Neurospora crassa OR74A: one gene and its partner. The protein of the gene in region 2 interacts with the protein of the main gene of each other region in a pairwise test. Links are inferred from orthologs where the notes say so. Each region holds a gene or a part of one and is shown on either strand. Other genes may lie near its edges.

Region 1 (3,444 bases), on a different chromosome or scaffold from region 2:
TTGACAACGATAACGATTATCAATCCTCCGTCGGCGGCGGCAGCAGGTACGCGCCGCCTAGTGTGCATGATGGGGACTACGAGGATGAGCCATCGGCAAGGTTTCCCACTGCGCCCTACGGCCGAGTAGGAATCGAACGGGGGAATGTGTAAGAATGGGATTAAAAAAAACAGAAGGGTCGAGAATTCAAGTCAAGGGATATGGATGAGCTGGACTGATCGACTTTGGATCTGGAAGCGGATGCAATACCGGGTAGCTATACGCTGCAGCATGCTTAGGTCATGTACAAAGTGTCTTGGCTACCTGCTTTCTTTTTTTTTGTTATTGGGGGCTGGCTGGCACTAGACGAAACATTTTGGGCTTTTTCTTGTGTATGTATGTGTGTAGGCTTTGTTTTATGGGGTGTCGTTGGCGAGGCGTCACAGGTCCTTGTTGGTTTATCATGCATAGAAACGAGAGAGATATCTTCGTGCATCAACAATGAATCACAAAGCTCTCATATCGGCTTCATGGAATGCTTTGTATCTGTGTCATTCTTATTAAACTCTCCCATATTTGTGGAGATCTACGTAGAACATGATTCTAGGTGACAAACAAGATATGATACGATATATGTGGATGGCTCAATGGCCCTAATTCTTTTCATGTACTTTGAGAAACGCCTAAAACGCCCGTGGCCTTAATGAATAGTATGTATGCTGCACAAGAAATCCTGGTTCCCGTCCCATCATCCGTTTTGCTTTTGCTCATTACCGTTGAGCAAGGGAGCGCGAGCCGAAGTAGCTCCGTCACCTGTTTCTTTGCCAGTTCCCCATTCCACGAGAGGGTCGCCCCCTGAAGCGAAGTATGATGAGGCGACAGCGGGGAGAGTCTAACTGGCATTATACCAGTCTGAGAGAGAAAGAGAGACAAAGAGAGAAAGACAAAATCCGTTGCTCTCTTCTTTCGAGACCTGTCGAGCAGAGCCATCTCGGCTGAAGGATCAGCCGTGTTGGGTCGCTCTTTCTCCCTCCCGCCGACTCTCGTAGCCCAGCTTACAGGACGAGACTGGACATGGGTCCGGGCATTTGTCGCCAGGCTCCCTCATCTCTACCCTTATCTTCAGACCACAAACCGAGCTCACCGGTGATCCCAAGAACATCCCCTTGCAAGAAGCAGTCACATTCCAGTGATGATGAAGTTCACATCACACTCGCGCATGCAATTTGCCCCCTTCTTCCCCTCCCTCGTTTCTTCGTCCGCTTCTTTACTGCAACAAGCCAGCCTTCCTCAACCGCTTGGTAATGTCGCCCTTGGTCTGCTGCATCGGGTTTAACTTGATGTCGCGCACCATGGCAGCTACATCGTCGCCGTGCTTAGCCACTAGTCGCTGCAGCCATTCTAGCTCGCGCTCGCTCTGGTAGCGCACCGTCTTCTCCACAGGGCGCGACGCCTCCTCCTCGAGCATCCGGACCACCTCGGGCCGGCTGCTCTGGGCAATCATCTCCTGGCGGTCGTCGCTGATGCCGTGCCATTCGATATCATGGGTTGGGTTCTTGGGCTTGGGTTCCTCGGATTCGGAGTCGGACTCGATCTCGTTGAGCGGGTCGTTGAGCGGGTTGTCCGAGCGCAGGACCTTGACGATCTTGCCCGAGGCGTCACGCTCGACCTTGACCTCGCGGACCTCGAACAGGCCGCGATCGGCCGACTTGACGGCCAAAGGATCATCCTTGGTGATGCCGGCGTAGTTGGCGGCGGCGGACTTCTTGGCCATGCCGCCGGCGGCGGTGCCGAGCTTGGCGACGAGACCGAAGCGGGAGTAGTTTTGTGAGAGGGTCTCCTTCTTGTTCCTGTAGTACATCAATTTTTGCATGTCAGTACTGAATCTCCTCTCGAATATCTGGCAACAAAAAGAAGAGAAAGGTACTTACCAGGCCTTGGCAACGATGCCGCTGCCCTGGGGGTTCAAGACCTTCTTCTTGATGGTATGCGTCTGGACCTTGGCGCGAGACGAGCGCTTCTTGCGCTTCTGAAGTTCTCTGCCCATTGTTGCTGTGGTTTTCGGGAAGTAGGTACTATGTGGTGTTGCTGAAAGGACAGGAGTTCGACTGCCAAAAGATGCTGGGAAGAAGAAGGCGAAATGGGAGTAAACCAGCAAAGAACGATGACGGCGACAACAACAACGAAGGCGGAAGTTGACCAAAATTTCGGGGGAAACCACCCCAGAGAACTCGATTGAACTGGAACTGCAATGGCTCCTGTCCGATAAGAGAATTATAGTGGGGCTGTTGTCCCTTATCGACCTTACAGGTTGTTCGTTACTTGGCAAGCTTGGGTACGTTCCCTCAGTCCAGTCGCCAGCTGGCAAGAGGGCCGTAATAAAGATACAGTCCCTACTGCGTAAGTGTGTACCTAGGTAGTGTAAGTGGTGTATTGTATGTAAGCACGTACATAAATACCGCTTCCTCAGGTTCCGTTTCTAATCCTCTTGTATCTTGCTTGCCTTTATTGCCGTCACCAGTTCGTTCATCAACAATCCTTCTCCCAAGGGTGATGATGGCAACTTACCTAACGACTATTTCCTCGGAATTGGACCCTAACTTTCACGGCCATCATAGCCGCGGCTTCTTGTTCTGCTCGCAACTGGTGAGGCGCCAGCGGCCGCGCCAGTCACCACCTCACCATTGTCACCATGATCATTACCCATTGGAGATATGAACAGACTTGTAATCATTGCTAAATAACTAGCTACGCACTTTGCAAGTTTTCCGGTAGGGCAACTTGATTCCCGTCTCATCCCATCCCCAAAACACCCTCCATGGCCCCCGCCACTATCCATTCGACGCAGGCACGCGGGTCATGCCTGAAATTTCATTTCTTTTTTATTCAAATCCAACCCGCCTTCAAATGTCAGCCTTGTACTTCCAAAGACATTCGGTAGTATGCGACCTAACTGTTGACATGTTCATTTCAAGTGCCTCGGTCATCATCACCCTGCTACATGCCGGCCAATGCCCATCAGAGCCCGGAAGAACACTGCGCAGAATGGGAAGCCGTTCGACATACATAGGTGTACTGTAGTGGCCAGCCAATTGTCTTTCATGGTGTTCTAGACGTTTGCCTATACAAGTACCTAGACAGCGACCGAGGTCTTGCTTTTTCTTCCCCAACTCCTCTCTCTTCAAACGCCCAGCCCATAGTTCGCAGCAGAACTCAACATCTTACCCACCTCCCCCTCCTTCTTCAACCCCATCCAACCTCAATGCAACATGGAGATATTCAGAACTTGATGAGGGGGGCCATGCTTGGGATAGTCACCTTCCTGTTAAGTCTAGGCGTAGACTTCGTTAGCCATGAGGTTTAGTCGAAATGAGGGGGTAGTTGGATACATGTCGAGCGGGATGTGGGGAGTGGTAGCGGCGAGGAGGTATACCTCTCAGTACTTATGTACGTACTACTTGGACA
Region 2 (4,047 bases):
AGCGAGGACCGGCTGCATGATTGAGCTTCCGCGCTTGGTCTCGGTAATCTTGGGGTTGCGGTAGACAAACTTGTCCAGGAAATGCATGAGGCTGTGGTTGGCCAAATCCGGCTTCGGCAGGCCCTTTTGACGGACGAGAAGGTTACTGGCATAAACGTGTACGGATGGATGGAAATGAGATAGAAGAGGAGCCTGGTGGTTTTGAGGTTAGTAAACTGGTTTCACATGCAATCAGAGTTCAAATAGGCACTTACCAATTCCCACAAGCAGCTTCTGTGCGCATTGCTATGCTCGGGATTTCTCTTTCGTCCATCATATCCTGTGGCACGACGGGAAGTTGGTGCGTCTTCACGCAAGAGACTGCGCTGCAGAGCCGCATCATCATTGACATCCTTGTAAGCCTCCACGCCATCATCTTCATTCTCCTCGGGAACAGTAAGCAACGAATGAAGGTCAGGAAACATGTTCTCCAGCTCGGAAATCAGATATAGCACCCCGCATGCGAAGGACGGCTGATGCAGGTTAAGCACCTGAACCAATCTCTTGACAAAAGCCTTCACTCTCCGCACGTCGGCATCATTCTTCAGGGCTCGAAAAAGTAGATTCATGTACAATGCTTGCTTCGATGACGTGATGAGTCTGGGATCCAATAATGATTCGTACAATGTCCGATAAAATCGGTCAACAGCGAGATGTTTGGTCACGGCGAGCTGTTGAATGAGCATGAGTGCTTGCACGCTGGTGTTGAAGTTCGACGAGTGCGTGATGCGAAACAAGGTATCGAGATGTTTTTCCATGGTCTCATCGTCGGCGGTAGTGAAGGGTACCGCACGATTGACACCAGTAAGCAGTGCGGATACGAGTTTTTGTGTCGTATCCTGCTCGTTGGCAGAAGCCTCGGTGTGATTTCGCTTGCCCTTCTTAGCTTTCCTGTTGCTGCCGCCAGATTTGTCCTCGGAATTTAGCGCTTCCAGGTTTCCCAATGAGCCAGTTTTGAGGAGGGAAAGGAAAGCCTCGAAGTAGATTCGGAGTAGCGTGTTGGCTATAGCGGGCTCTTTGGTGCTCAAGATGGTTTGATTCAGGGTGATGATGGCGTAGTATTTGGTGCGCAGACCTTGGCCTGGCTTGAGCAAAACCTCTTGCTCTACCGTGCTGATGACAATGCTTTTCATCGCAGGGTGAATGTTGAGCAACTGCAAGAGGAGGTATGACGCCCGAGATGCAATTTTCCGTTCGCGATCACCGAGTTTGTTAACAAGAAGTCGCAACAAATTGGCCTCTTGTTCCGGCTTGTCCCGGAGCAATGTGAAAACAAATTCCAGCGCGCGCATTCTCGAATGCTCAATCTGATCAGTCGACCAGATTTCGAGGAGCTGGACAATGCGAAAATACGCTGCTTTGAGCCAATCCTCGTATGCCCACATCATCAGGTAAGAATCAGTTAGCTTGGCTGGGAGCTTCTGGCCCTGAACCCAATGCAGCACAGCTTGATCTTGTAAAGCGGCCAGCAAGGCGGGTTGCATGTTGAACGGACGAAGCCGGCGATTACTTGGCAGAACTGTGCCATTGCCCAGCAGATCCACTAGAGCGCCCAGGGCAGCGAGTGCCTGACTACGGCTTTTCTTGCCGGCCAACCCGATCAGGGTTTCAAAGGCTTTCTGGTTGTGGAGAGGAGACTCTTGTATCGACAAGGTTAAGGCAGATACCTTGTCGGATAAGGTGCCGGAAGACATAATGGTCGACATGAACTTCTGAGTGGAGCTGGAGGCCTGGAGGGCGTTGTATCTTGCCGCGTCCTCCTTCAAGAGAGCGTCCGCGTAAGCTTTGAGGTTGGCAATCGCTGAAGAATATTGCCTAACGTCGGCAGATGGTGTGAAGGCAGGTAGGCCCTCGAGGTCGAGAGCATGCCAGTCAGGTCTGGGCTCAAAACCCTACTCAAGTTAGCATACCGCCAGGTAAGTCTGCGGCAGCGAGAGCGTCGAACTAACCAGCTTGTTCTTGCCTTTCTTCCCGCGCAGGGTGTCTTGGGCGGTCGTAGTTGTGCTCTCACTTTTTACTGTGGCAGAAATGGCTAGAGGCTGTTCCTGATCCTGGCTGTCATCCTGTTTTGTTTGTTCCGCGTCGTCGTCCTCTTCTTCGTCGTCTTCTTCGTCTTGTTCCTCGTCGACGGGGTTTTCAGACGACACGCTTTCAAGGTCATCCTCGCGGGGTATGTTCTGGAAGCCCAGGCTCAAGGCGAACTTTGTCAGTTCCTCATGAAATGACTTATCCAGGGATTTTTCGGGCGCCGACGCAGATTTCATGCCAGGTCCCTCTTCATTGTCGGAATCAACATTGGCGACAAGCTCAAGATCATCCTCGTCTCCGCCCAAGGCCAAAATTTCCTCCAGCAGAACCTCCTTTGTTGCATTGTGGGACTGGTCTTTGCTGGAACGGTCCTCTTGTCCTTCTTCAGTGCCCAGTAGAGATTTCTGGCGCCTCTTTGCATCTCGATCATCAGCTGTGGTGTTCGGTCTCTTGCGATTTGGTGACGCGTGTTGGTCAGTGCCGACGCCAGCGAGAGTTTGGTCGATCTTTTCGGTCAGTTGAGCAAGTGCTGCTGCTTCGTCGAAAGCCGGCCCCATGCCTTTCCTCTTTCTTTGCCTCGGTGACTTGGATGAGCCCATATCTCCTAAATCCGTCGTTGCCGAAATCAATGGACAGCGGGCCGGCACAATGTGTCTCGAGGTTGGCTGTTGGTGATGCAAAATAAACCATCTACGAGGAAGGGTTGGAAAAAAAAATGCTTGGATCATGCACCTAGCGGACCCTCGTGCGTCTTGCAGGAAGAGTGGAGCAAGTGGAGGTACAGATGTACACAGTACACTGACAAATCTCTATGTACTATGCAGTACTCTCCAAACCTCGGCTGGTTCATCATTGGCGCGGTACTTCGATTGACACTTTTTCTTATCAAGTTTCATTCGGTGGAGTTTGGCGATGCAAGCCTGAAATAGTGCTAAAAGTGTTAAGTCCTACGCTGGGTAATATTTGGAGAAAGTCTAATCGTACAGTTAATATTGTCTATCCGTACGGTGGTCTACTTTTGCTTTATTAAGTATAACTTAGTAAAACGGAGACTAATGAAACTGAAAGTGGCACCAAACTATTCGTTCATTTTTGAGGAATTTTTTAAGGTAGGTACCAAATCTATATCCCTAAGCATCATGGAAAAACTACCCCTTAAGCCTTTTTCATCTAAAATCTTATTAATTATTTATTTATAATAGCTATCTTCTTTGAGAGTTTCCTAGGGCTACTAGGTAGGTCTGGTCACTCCAAAAAGAGTGTTAGATAGAGTAAAAGATCAGAAAAAATATAATGCATTTTGGTAAGTTAATACTAAACTCTATTAAGTTAGAAAAAGAATATGAAAGTCTATTTTTCATTACCGTACGGATAGATAATATTGACCGTACAATTAAACTTTTTCAATATTTGATTTAGAATTGAATTGTACAATCTAACTTTAGTGTGTTTGTAGGTTTAGTACTAAAAAAAAGCCAATTTCTACTCTAGAGCCAGCTACCAAATGTCGAGGGTAGGAAAAACGTTTGAACCTCATTCAGACAGGTACTAAAAGGGGACTACTCTCTCATATCTTCCAGTCTTGGAGGTCCTAAATGAGACAAAGAGGGGTATAAGAAGGCTTCCATAGCATTTTCCACCCTGGCTATTATTATATAACGCTTCCAACAGAGGCCCTTTTCTCTCTTTAAAGGCTAATAGAAGCTTTAAACAATTTCTCCTATTCAACGTATAGCTAAAGAACCAAACTAACAAACAAACTAGTATTAACTTGTAGAAGGACCTACAACTAGGAGTTTAGTGCCCGTGGGGTATATATTGGATTTACTAATGAATCCCACTCACCGGACACTTCTATTTATAGTAATGTGCCTCGTAAATGCTAGACCTAATAAATGCAAATACTTAACAAATACTAGGAATTTCACTATATGTATTATTTTAGTATAGTATACCTACTAGCTGCTAAGTGCTAGCCGT

What was found. The genes of interacting proteins can lie anywhere in the genome.
Region 1: the proteins of NCU09894 (region 2) and NCU09528 interact in binary tests that used the Saccharomyces cerevisiae proteins (3 or more experiments, as listed by UniProt). The link is inferred for Neurospora crassa OR74A from reciprocal best matches to the Saccharomyces cerevisiae genes MAK21 and NOP16.

What each region holds. Positions count from the first base shown.
Region 1 is NC_026505.1:4,474,525-4,477,968, forward strand, and holds NCU09528 (nucleolar protein 16), read right to left. Parts: upstream 2,196-3,444; 5' UTR 2,027-2,195; coding exon 1,911-2,026; intron 1,830-1,910; coding exon 1,247-1,829; 3' UTR 501-1,246; downstream 1-500. Other genes in the region: NCU09527 (hypothetical protein), read left to right, coding at 1-152. UniProt on the Saccharomyces cerevisiae protein: Involved in the biogenesis of the 60S ribosomal subunit.
Region 2 is NC_026501.1:3,985,640-3,989,686, reverse strand, and holds the start of NCU09894 (CCAAT-box-binding transcription factor), read right to left. Parts: upstream 2,801-4,047; 5' UTR 2,796-2,800; coding exon 1,989-2,795; intron 1,932-1,988; coding exon 255-1,931; intron 193-254; coding exon 1-192.